Linked DNA regions of Arabidopsis thaliana. The protein of the gene in region 2 purifies or fractionates together with the protein of the main gene of each other region. This does not show direct contact. Each region holds a gene or a part of one and is shown on either strand. Other genes may lie near its edges.

Region 1 (4,160 bases), on a different chromosome or scaffold from region 2:
TGCCTCCTCATAGAAGAGATAAGATGGAGACATTTTTCCTTGGTGAAACATTGAAGTACTTATACTTGCTCTTTGGAGATGACTCAGTGATACCATTGGATAAGTTTGTTTTCAACACTGAAGCTCATCCATTACCAATAAGAAGAAACACCTGAAGGCTTAGTTTTGAAGACTACTCCAGACAATACACACACACACACACATACACAAACTTAAGAGAGGGTATGGAGAAAGTGATGTATAGTACACTGCCAATTGGAGAAGAAGTTAGTTCGTTGAGGAAAAAAAGTCATAACTTTCAATGTAAGATAAGCTTCTGCATCCAAATTATAACTTAACTCGTAAAAGTTTTTGCTTGTAGTAGTAGGTTTCTTGAGACTAATATTCTCTCTTTTCGTTAAGCTCTCACTTGGCAAAATGTAATCAGACACAATTGACATGGAGATGAATTATGGTTTTAGTTTTTTATACATACCATTTACACTGCAAGATAAGATCATTCTGATATGACTAATAAACCTTTAAATTTGAGATCATTTGGTCATCTTAGCTCTTTGTAATCTGCAAGGTGTTGCATAGAACATAATCGACTTGAAGTATGTATGAAGACCAAATTAGGCGCACACACACAATATTTTTTTGTAAATCTCCAAACTCATAACTTCATAAAGGGCGACAAGATCATGTATAAGTTACACACTTAAGTCTAGTTGTCAACAAAAAAAGATTAGTGACACAAAGAGACATCAATCACCCAATAAACTGAAACCACAAGAACCCTCAGTAACTGAATATGACACCATTGAGACAAGGCCGAGCACAGTGGAAAGGGTTTAACAAGTGTGGTTGCAACTGAGTAGCTCAATCAAGCCTTTGCTTTTCCTGCCTGGATAGTTTGTAGCCTTTGTTGTAACTTCATTATCTGCAAATATTTTGATTCCATAAATTGAAACCATAGGATCATTATCACCATTTAAAAGCCAAGAAAGTGCAGAAACAGCAAATCCTCATATTGCGCCAAGGCCAGTAGGCCACTCAACGAGACAGAGGAGATAACAAAGTTCAAGTATTTACTTTCCGGGCAGGCTTAAACTGACAACAATAGCTACCAAAGTATCTTTTTAGAGCTTAGTATACTGAGCATCAATGTTTGGACTATTATTGGTGTAGCAGTCCTAGTATCACTAATTCAATGCACTCAAAGAAGTATATAAATGCATGAGAGGCAGATGTCTTACCGTTTCTCTCTTGTTGTTTTGTTTTTCTTCCATATCTTGAAGAATTGCATCAAGCCGTTTCCTGCAAAGGATACAACAATATTCTTGAGGTCACAACACTATAGCTCAAACACTTTATCAACATCTCTCATAGTTGTTACATAGCTAGAAGTGAAAACATTTTAGCTACTTATGAACAGCAATCACTCACTATTAGCCTAGAAAGAAAGAAAGGTTCTTTATTTACAATAACAATCCCAAAATAGGTTTCTCAACGAACTGCATTTGCTTCAATCACATTAAAAGAAAAGAAACTCACAATTCAGCAGAGATGTACTCAATTCGTTTACGAACATTTGCATTAGCTTCAGCCAAATCCTGCTTCACTAACACCGGACCAATCAATTTGTAGACGTTAGCATCTTCTTCCAGCAAATCTAACTCCTGTAGATACAAGACAGACACATAAAAAGATTAAAGCCAATCAACAATCGAAATAAACTTCTCTTTTCAGTTGAAGTAGCCACAAAACTCAGATTAAACAGTGAGACATGAACATATACCTTAAGCACGAGCTCATTCTCACCGAGTTGGATCGTATACTTCTTTCTCAGCTGATGATTCTTCCCGATATCTGAAAATATGAACACAGAAAAGTAGGGTTTCCCGCCTCCAGAAACAAGAAAAGAATCAAATCGAGAAAAGTTACGAGAATCTACGAAACTTGCCTTTCTGGATTTTGCCGAGATCATTAGCCTTGTTTTCTAGGTCTCTCTGCAAATCACGAACAGTCGATGAACTCATCTTCGTCGTCGTCGTCTGCTTCTTCCTCACTCCGGTGGTTTATTGAAAACTCGCAGATCCACCAAGGAGCAGTAACAAAACTCCGTTAAAGCCCCCGTGTTTTAGTAAGGCCCAAAACCGTATTAACTTGGACTTTTTAACGGCCCAATATGCTTTTCTTCTATTATCAAGCCTAGTTTTAGTTACATACAAAAGAAAAACACTATTTATCACTTGGTGACGTAATATCTTCTAGTTCACTGATCATATCAACACTGAACATAACTCTCATAAACACAAATTTTTACTTTTCGTCCCTTTATACCTCAATCTATAACGGGAAAAATGTCGTTTAATACGTGAACTTTAAAAAAATGGTCATTTAATACGTGAACTTTATATATGGTAAATTAATACATACAAAAATCGTTGACTGGCCATTTTACACAAACTTAATCGTTGATCAGGCCAAAATCTACACGACGTTATCTGACATTAACAGACCGATAACAGCCGTTAACTAATCTCTGTTAGTTTCCAATACGACGTCATTTCGATTATCGCAAAAACGGGAAAAATGCCATTTAATACTCCAACTTTCAAATTATGGTCATTTTATACATCAACTTCACATATGGCCATTTTATACATGAACTAAACGTTGACCAACAGTTTAAAAAATGAGAATGTGTTAACCAGGCCAAAGAGACATACCGCTATCTAGGCCTAGGTATTTGAATAAATCCAAACCGAATCCAAACAAAAATCTGAATATCTAGGTCTAGATAGCGGTATGTCTTTTTGGTCTAATCAACGCATTCTCATATTTTAAACTATTGGTCAACGTTTAGTTCATATATAAAATGGCCACATGTGAAGTTGATATATAAAATGACCACAATTTGAAAATTGGAGTATTAAATGGCATTTTCCGTTTTCGCGATACTCGAAACAACGTCGTATTAGAAACTAACGAAGATTAGTTAACGACTGTTATCGGTCTGTTAATGTCAGATAACGTCGTGTAGATTTTGGCTTGATCAACGATTAAGTTTATGTAAAATTGTCAGTCAACGATTTTTGTATGTATTAATTTGCCATATATAAAGTTCACGTATTAAATGGCCAATTTTGAAAGTTCACGTATTAAACAACATTTTTTCAAATCTATAATAGTGAAAAGCCGAAGATTTTACAAAGACATTTTTGTTGTTGTCAAACTAATAATTCACTCCACAGCCTAAAAGAAATAGAGTTGGATCAAAAGTAAAGTTGCCACTTTAGTCTCGCATCTAGCACAGATCCAATGAGAGGGAAAAAAAAAGAGAGAACCTAGGTCAATACTAAAACTTATTCCATCGTGGCTCTACTAATTAGAACAATTAAATACTATGTTACAGTAGAAACATTTCTTTTACTTTTTTTTTGTTATGCGTGCATGGAGTTTTGTCTGTAAAGAGCTTTAAATATAGTGGAAATTAAATGTTGAGAGTTAAAAAAAAAGAAGAAAAAAAAAGACAAGGAGTGAGGAATCTTGGATAAAAGGACACTAACCTTCCCTGTCTTTGCTCGCTGCCCGAAAAGAACATACAGAAAGACACTTTCACATTTCACACTTACAGAGAGAGAGAAGAGAGATAAAGAGAGCATTTAGATATCTTGAGGAAGACGAAGAAGAAGTAGAGGAGAGATATGGTTCCGAGCAACAATAGATGCAAATGGAGTTCCATTTTCTTGTTTCTGCTCAGTGTCTCCGTTGCCGTCTTAGTCGCCGTCGCTGACGACAAGTCTCCGGCGGTTGAGGATGGTACGCTTTTCACTTACCTTCATCAAATTTCTTTGTTCTTTTCTGGTCTCTGCGTGATTGGTTTTTCTCAAAAATGCCATTTAAATAAGAATCTTGTGTTATCAAGATTTGGTTTCTTGAATCCAACCCATCTCTGTTTCAAGAACAGAGGACCAAAATAATTTAGTTTCAGATGATTGATTTAGTTTTTATCTGGATTTTGAGTGTTTAGATTTTTGGGGGTTTTCCTCAATTTCACTTCACTGTTGCTAAGATTTTTAAGTTGAGTTTTCTTCTTTACTAAAGATTAGAAATCTGTTATGTTAATGTCTAGTTTAAGTAAGTAAACAGTGTTAATCGAACCAGTAATGCTA
Region 2 (4,311 bases):
CAAACCGCTGGAAACAAACCGGTGGATCAAAGCGACGCAGCAGCGATTCAAGCGGCAGAGGTTAGAGCTTGTGGCACTAATGTGATTGCTCCTGGTGGAATCGCCGCTTCTGCTCAATCAGCAGCAAATCACAACGCTACCATAGACCGTGATGAGGATAAAATCAAGCTCATTGATGTTTTGGCGGTTAAACCCCAATTTTAAAAACATCTTCAATGTCTTAATGTTTTAGTTTTAAGATTGTCTAAATGTGTTTGAACCGGATGGCTTATTAGGGTGCGACCGGGAAGTTAGCCGCAGATAAAGCTGTGACCAGGCAGGACGCAGAGGGAGTGGTGAGCGCTGAGCTGAGGAACAATCCTAATTTGTCTACTCACCCTGGTGGTGTAGCGGCTTCTATTACTGCCGCCGCTAGGCTTAACGAGAGAGCTGATATATGAAAAATCCTGCGAGAGGGAGATGTTTTGGTTCTGTTGTTCAAAAAAGTTCAGTCATAATGTAAAAAAATGGTCACTTTCCGGTTATAAAGTTGAAATCTTTCTCTAGCACAACGGATCTACATAAATATGGCATTTCTCCAGTCTACTAGTTTTGTGACATTCAAAACATGTTGATTTTTTCCAGCAAAGTTTACGGCTTTTAACCATAAGATCCAAAAAAGAGATACAACAGTAAAACAAACTGCCAAATATAGAGTTTTACTGGCTTGAACTGGCAGCTCCAACAAGAACACCTTGAGCATTACCTTCCTTCTTGTTACCTCCTTCCTTGTTATCTTCTTGTTTCGTTATCCTGATCTTATACTTAGCTTCAAACTCTGTAAGATCTTTCTTCTTTTTCTCCAATGTCTCGTATAGCTTCCTCACAACCTCTTCAAGTCCGTCCTTGTTACGTTGGACAGCTGGTAGTACCTCTTTGATGGTTCTTTCGACAAGAACGCCTCCTATCATGCGGAAGCATTTCCTCGATTGGTCGAGAGGCTGAATGGCGTTAATGACCAGAGAATGTTCGCTCACTTGCATCTCGAGGTCGGTTATGTTGGAGTAGATTTGGCTTAGCTCTGATCTCTTGCCTTCATACATGTTCAAAACAGCTTGCTCATTCGGCGGTTCTCTTAGGCCACCGCTTCCAGATTTGCTGGCCATTACTTCGATCCTACTACAGAAATTAGATCCAAGAAATCACGAATTGCATAGTTGAAGCAAAAAATGAGAGTAAATCAATAAAGAAACTCAAACAACAACACTCAGAGAAACATTTGCATCTGACACAACTACGAACCGAAAAACACAATTGTTACAAAACAATTCCAAGCACATTGGAAAGAATACTAATCACTTAACCAATGCAGAGAACTATCTTACCTCAAGAATGATTCATACTTAATTCATTATTCTCTCAGAAGTTATAAAATACAAAACATGGTGAAGCATAAGGCTTTTACCAGATCAAGATCAATCCTACAATCATTCCATCACTATCTTGTCACGAACAATCACGCCCTTTTCCATCAAATAGATCTAAATACTACAACAGCCACATCTAAACCAATGACATAGCTTATCCTTCAGAATCCATCAGTCTCATAGCATCAAATACACTTATACAAGTAGAAGCAACCAACACAGAACATTCCACAAAGTAGACGTATATGAGTTCACTAACAGTGTATCATCTCCTACATAATACTCCAATCTCAAACTATGGCAACAGAGACTCAAACATAGAAACGATAACAACAACCAATTTAACATCCTTTTCAACAATCAGGGCTATTTCTCCAAACTAGGGTTTCAACGTCTACTTATATCAACTCTCAACACATATATTCCATGATCTAAGCTAATTTTCTAACATTAACGAAGCTTGATTGGGATCTAAGAAGTCTCAGTGAAAATTTCTACGATTCCAGAGCTAGATTCTGTTTACTCCGAGATCGATATCGACACAAATCTTAAGACCATTTGAACCACAAAAAAAAATCAACAACTAACAAAAATACTTACTTTCAGAAACGAATCCACACACGAGGAAGAAGATCGAAGAAGAAGAAGCTTCGCTTGAGAGGAAACAATCGAGAGAACGATGGAAGCAAACGCGGCGCAGAGAGTGAGGAAGATGAAGAAACAAGGTTGGGTTTAACTCGTACCTTTCCCAATTAAAACCGCTTTGATTTTTAAATCAAAACATTGAACCGGGTTTAAATATATGAATGAATCAAAACCGGAATTTTCATTTCCTTCTTCTTCTCTTCTCTCTCACACAGCACAAAGGACCAACGATTCATTCATTGAAGAAGATGATACAGAGATTGATTCCTCTAAATCGAAAAGCTTCGAACTTTACTCAGATTCTTGAGAAAGGTACTTCTTTATTACACTATTCTAGTATCACCGAAGCGAAGCTTTCTTATAAAGAGAGATTAAGGAATGGGATTGTTGATATTAAGGTTAATGATGCTATTGATCTCTTCGAATCCATGATTCAATCTCGTCCTTTACCTACTCCAATCGATTTCAATAGATTGTGTAGTGCTGTTGCTAGAACGAAACAGTATGATTTAGTGTTAGGTTTCTGCAAGGGAATGGAGTTGAATGGGATTGAGCATGACATGTATACTATGACCATTATGATCAATTGCTATTGTAGAAAAAAGAAACTTCTTTTCGCATTTTCTGTTCTTGGGAGAGCTTGGAAGCTTGGGTATGAGCCTGATACAATCACGTTTTCGACTTTGGTTAACGGGTTTTGCCTCGAGGGTAGAGTTTCTGAAGCGGTTGCGTTAGTTGATCGGATGGTGGAAATGAAGCAAAGACCGGATCTTGTAACCGTTAGCACTCTGATCAATGGACTTTGTCTAAAGGGTAGAGTGTCTGAAGCTTTGGTTTTGATTGATAGGATGGTTGAGTATGGTTTTCAACCTGATGAGGTTACTTATGGACCGGTTTTGAATAGACTGTGTAAGTCAGGGAACTCTGCTTTGGCTTTGGATTTGTTTAGAAAGATGGAAGAAAGAAATATCAAAGCTAGTGTTGTTCAGTATAGTATTGTTATTGATAGTCTTTGTAAAGATGGGAGCTTTGACGATGCGCTTAGCCTTTTCAATGAGATGGAGATGAAAGGGATTAAAGCTGATGTTGTTACGTATAGTTCTCTTATAGGAGGTCTTTGTAACGACGGTAAATGGGATGATGGTGCAAAGATGTTGAGGGAGATGATTGGAAGGAATATCATTCCCGATGTTGTCACATTTAGTGCTTTGATTGATGTTTTTGTGAAAGAGGGGAAGCTTCTAGAGGCTAAAGAGTTGTACAATGAGATGATCACAAGAGGTATAGCTCCTGACACCATTACATATAATTCATTAATTGATGGGTTTTGTAAGGAGAATTGCTTACATGAGGCTAATCAGATGTTTGATCTGATGGTTAGCAAAGGGTGCGAACCTGACATCGTGACTTATAGTATTCTCATAAATAGCTACTGCAAAGCTAAGAGAGTTGATGATGGTATGAGACTTTTTCGTGAGATTTCTTCGAAAGGATTGATTCCTAATACAATCACTTATAACACTCTTGTCCTAGGGTTTTGTCAATCGGGAAAACTTAACGCCGCCAAAGAACTCTTCCAAGAGATGGTTTCTCGTGGTGTGCCACCAAGTGTTGTAACTTATGGTATTTTGCTGGATGGTTTGTGTGACAATGGTGAACTAAATAAAGCATTGGAGATATTTGAGAAAATGCAGAAGAGTAGGATGACTCTTGGTATTGGTATCTATAATATCATCATTCACGGGATGTGCAATGCTAGTAAGGTCGATGATGCTTGGAGTTTATTCTGTAGCCTCTCTGACAAAGGAGTGAAACCTGATGTCGTGACATACAATGTAATGATTGGAGGACTATGTAAGAAAGGCTCGTTGTCTGAAGCCGATATGCTGTTTAGAAAAATGAAGGAGGATGGGTGTACTCCGGATGATTTTACGTACAACATTCTTATCAGGGCACATCTTGGAGGTAGTGGTCTAATCTCTTCAGTTGAACTCATAGAAGAAATGAAGGTGTGTGGGTTCTCTGCAGATTCTTCCACCATAAAGATGGTTATTGATATGTTATCAGATCGTAGATTGGATAAAAGCTTTTTGGATATGCTTTCTTGATTGTCTAATCTGATCTACAAGAGATAAAGAAAATATTTTTGTTTGTAATTCCAAATCACTAAAATATTGTACCAAGCTTGGGGCTATTTATAAAGTAGATGTAGTTGTCCTCTCGTCACTGTTTTTGATCACACAAGATTTCAAATAGAGAG
Region 3 (3,824 bases), on a different chromosome or scaffold from region 2:
GCCAATCACATTTCTCATCGGCACAGTTTAAAACAAATGAATCAAGTTTTGTGCGTGTTTGTTTGAAGTGAAACATATGCCTAATAGCATATATAGCTAATCCAATTTGGCAATCCGACTTGCTAGCATAAACTTTTCCTTTATATACATCTTCACCGTCAGCCCTATCTATATCCGGCATTATGGCAGCTTCATACTCCGTGTCATCAAACAGAGGAGGAATATCAAACTCTTCATCGTCCACATCCGACAGCTTCCTATTTTCTCTTGCAGTTTCATTTGTATTACAATCACCTGTTCTATTGTTAACAACTTTTCCCGTTCCACTGCTGTTTGCAAGTAAATCAGTTGGATGCTTAATCGAAGACGTTATCAAATCATCAATTTCCATGTTCGAACCTGCACCTTCCACACTGGCCACCAATTCTGTGTCTACTGTTGGTGACGCAAATCCCATTCTAACATCAGCATCTTCTTCCCCGACACATATTATATCCAATGCATTTGAGCCACCCATGTCCTCATCCAAGAATGGGCTCCAAAACTCCACATCATAAGATTGGGGTTTTACTTCTATAATCTCATCCCAAGTAAGATCTTCGCTTCCTTCATCCACTAGATCTTCATCATCAAGATCTTCAGATAAAATTTCACTAACAAGAGGACCTCGTTCACAACCTATAACTCTTTCTATAGTTTCAAGTTCTGCAACAAATTCTTCATCTTCGGAGGACAGCAAAAATTCTTTCAACCCGACCTTCGATATACTATCTTCTGATCCACATAAACGTTTCGACTTATTCCCTCTTCCGTCATCTTCCTTAACTGAACTGGTCTTCACTAGCCCACCGTCAACCTCAGAATTGTTTAAAACTCTTTTACAAGATGTTCCAAACTTTACAAACATGTTGGTTCCAACATTTGCTTCCAATATCTTCATAAAATAACTTAGCCCCACATCAGTCGTCACGACGACCGGTGGTGTTTTATCTCCGGTGGTAAAATCTCTTATATTTGGGGTACAGAAGCTTAAATCAACCTTCGTACTCGTTGAAATTCCAAATTCTACTCTAATGGCTTCCACGAATTCTGATAGCTTAATACCTTTATATACAGGCACAATTCGAGATTTCATTACCTTATTAACCTCAACATACCACTTCTCATCCTCCTCGCAATTCCAATCCCCGCATATTACATAACAGAAGCCATCCTCAGTTCCCTGCAATATATAAATTTTTTATCTTAGACAGTCAATAATATATCAGCGAATATTTTCTACTATTGTTACCAATCCATTTTTTCTTACCATCGTTATGATATCTTTGTTAGTTGCTTCAAACTTCAGAGCTTCTCTTTCTTTTGTTCATCGTCATTCAAACTTCGATGACATAGTTATTCGTTCCATGCTTTCTCCGGTTTGCAAAAACAAAATAAACCGGTTTCCCCAAACTCTTACCCTAAATAACCGATTTTACTTGATTTAATTAATAGGGTCAATTAAGTCTTTTTCCCCCTTATAATTGATCACCCTTATAATTGATCAGAAGTGTGCCTGTCGGCAAAACTTTTGCTCAACATGTTTTCGAAAGTGTATGATAATGCAAATCACCCTTAAAATATAATATGGTAAAATAATTTGGTGGTGTTAGCTGAATTGGTTACGATACAAACAATGGTTTGGGTGGTTGATTATACAAGAAAAAAAAGACAATGACTTTGAGTCTTTGATTTACAAAATCATGGTACAATCTAAAACCAAATGGGTAAATTAAATTGTGTTATTGGGTAGAATTGTTTGTTCCAATGCAAACACATATTTTTTTAAAAGTATAAAATCATCGTTAATTATAAATGGGCCGATTTGACCCAATAAAGCCTTGATAAACCGGGCTAAGCCGTCTGAAACCCGACCCGGGTAGTTCTAACTTTTTGACCCTAAAACGAAAGACCCTTCTCTAGCACGTCGGGGTTCGTTCAAAGATCAAGATCTGCAGACATGGCGGACGAAGCAACCAGAGCTGTGAGTACCTCTCTCTCTCTTAAATCAGCTCAATTTTCTAGTGGAATATTCTTCTTTCCCCAGTAAGATGTTGCAGAAAATGGAATTGTAATGTGTATAGTTACAACAGGCTTTTATGGAGATTCAAGCTAGCATGATTGAACTCACTGGGAAGCTCAAACAGGTGAATCCTCACTTTCTTTGTATTTATCAAGTTTTAGAATCAAACGTGACACATTGTATAAGGGTTTACTTGTAATTTGTTAGTTCTTGAACTGTGTTTGGTTTTATAATCCCTTCTTTCATGTTGTGTAATGACAAAATTGGCTTTCCTAGGTTATTGTCATGTGGTGCTGAAAAACTGAAATGTGAATGTGGATGGGTTTTATATATAGGTGCAGAATCAGATGCGCAACAAAGAGGGAGATAGAAAGCGAGCTTTCTTAACCTTGGAGGAGCTGAGGCCATTGCCTGAAGAGACAAACACCTACAAGTCAATAGGCAAGTGATTCAATTCTCTGGTTTTGAGACAAGGACTAGTAAAGTTTTGGTCTAATTTGTGTTTTATTCTTGTTTTCAGGAAGAACGTGAGTGGTGGTTATTAGTCAGTCCAACTAGAGGCCTTTAGAGAATTTTGAAGGCTGATTATAGTTTGTATGGTGAACAGGTTTGTTCTAGAGCCCAAGACAGTGCTGGAGGGTGAACAAGAGCAAAAACTCAAGGACAGTGAAGCTGCCGTTGCTTCTCTACAGGTAACAATCATTCCCTCTTTCAACATCTTATTGGGTTATTAGGAGATCATTGAGATGCTGGTTATCAAACATGTTTTGTTTTCGGGATGATTTTTAGACATCCAAGGAATACTTGGAGAAGCAGGTAGCAGAGGTTGAGAACAACTTGAGGGAGCTGTTGCAGCAAGAACCGGGCATTGCTCAACAGATTATGTCCATGTCTATGTAACTTTTGTATTATCCCAAACCTTTGAGTTTGGAGAGCTTTTGGGATTGAAACCATAACATGTTCTAGTTAAAAGTTGTAACATTCAAAAGTTTTTGTTCGATCAGTATTGTTTTAAAGCCTCTGGTCTATGATATTGCAAAAAACTGAGATTTCTTATGCGACAACAAATGCATGATCTATCTAACTCGAAAACAAAAATTTTAACAAGGATGAGGTCTCTCTATGATTCTTCGGAGAGAAAACTCAATCCTTGTTCCACCGTTCGGTATGCTTACCGGCTTTCGTTGTCCGGATGAGAAGACTTTGTTTCCGGTGTGGTCTGGCTCTGTTTTCGGTGTGATTCGGCTCATATTTCGGGTATTTGTTGCTAAAATGGAATTCGCTTTGTTTCTTGAGGGAAGATTAGGATAAGTCGATTGAATAATTTTCCGGCGATCTTGGCCGGAATTGAAGCTTTCTGATCAACGGAGACTCTCACATCTTCAACTTTGCATGTGTCTTCTAACCTGCTTCCTGCTTGCCACATGTCTAATATAATGCATTTAAGCTTTTCCTTCAGCTTTCTTATTGGACTTTGTTTTCTTTTGTTTGGCTTCCTTGGTTTAGTGTTTGTAAAATATTGGCATGTTACTTTGGCTTTCTATACTAAATAAAACACACTTTTGACAAAAAAAAAAAAAAAAAAAGACTACAACTCGAGATTGCATCTAACATTGTGAATATATATAAATTTAACCTCACAATCTAAACACAAGTAGATGTAATATATATTATGAATTCAGTGAAACAATAGTTAAAACTCAAGTTGATCAATCATCAATAGCATGTGAGCAATAAGTGTCAAAAGAGATACACATACACA

Evidence for each region.
Region 1: the proteins of PDF2 (region 2) and PFD6 fractionate together in Arabidopsis thaliana (co-fractionation; one large-scale study listed by BioGRID). This does not show direct contact.
Region 3: the proteins of PDF2 (region 2) and PFD1 fractionate together in Arabidopsis thaliana (co-fractionation; one large-scale study listed by BioGRID). This does not show direct contact.

Annotation. Positions count from the first base shown.
Region 1 is NC_003070.9:10,505,527-10,509,686, reverse strand, and holds PFD6 (prefoldin 6), read right to left. Parts: upstream 2,155-4,160; 5' UTR 2,022-2,154; coding exon 1,946-2,021; intron 1,852-1,945; coding exon 1,781-1,851; intron 1,662-1,780; coding exon 1,537-1,661; intron 1,300-1,536; coding exon 1,239-1,299; intron 923-1,238; coding exon 866-922; 3' UTR 536-865; downstream 1-535. Other genes in the region: MNS3 (alpha-mannosidase 3), read left to right, coding at 1-155; AT1G29980 (choice-of-anchor C domain protein, putative (Protein of unknown function, DUF642)), read left to right, coding at 3,693-3,807. UniProt on the Arabidopsis thaliana protein: Binds specifically to cytosolic chaperonin (c-CPN) and transfers target proteins to it. Binds to nascent polypeptide chain and promotes folding in an environment in which there are many competing pathways for nonnative proteins.
Region 2 is NC_003074.8:7,965,914-7,970,224, reverse strand, and holds PDF2 (prefoldin 2), read right to left. Parts: upstream 2,237-4,311; 5' UTR 2,007-2,236; intron 1,648-2,006; exon of another isoform or gene 1,407-1,647; intron 1,159-1,406; 5' UTR 1,146-1,158; coding exon 699-1,145; 3' UTR 520-698; downstream 1-519. Other genes in the region: AT3G22490 (Seed maturation protein), read left to right, coding at 1-186, 276-440; AT3G22470 (Pentatricopeptide repeat (PPR) superfamily protein), read left to right, coding at 2,300-4,159.
Region 3 is NC_003071.7:3,043,645-3,047,468, forward strand, and holds PFD1 (PREFOLDIN 1), read left to right. Parts: upstream 1-1,878; 5' UTR 1,879-1,999; coding exon 2,000-2,023; intron 2,024-2,132; coding exon 2,133-2,186; intron 2,187-2,397; coding exon 2,398-2,503; coding exon of another isoform or gene 2,504-2,507; intron 2,508-2,582; coding exon 2,583-2,589; intron 2,590-2,669; coding exon 2,670-2,754; intron 2,755-2,851; coding exon 2,852-2,962; 3' UTR 2,963-3,260; downstream 3,261-3,824. UniProt on the Arabidopsis thaliana protein: Binds specifically to cytosolic chaperonin (c-CPN) and transfers target proteins to it. Binds to nascent polypeptide chain and promotes folding in an environment in which there are many competing pathways for nonnative proteins.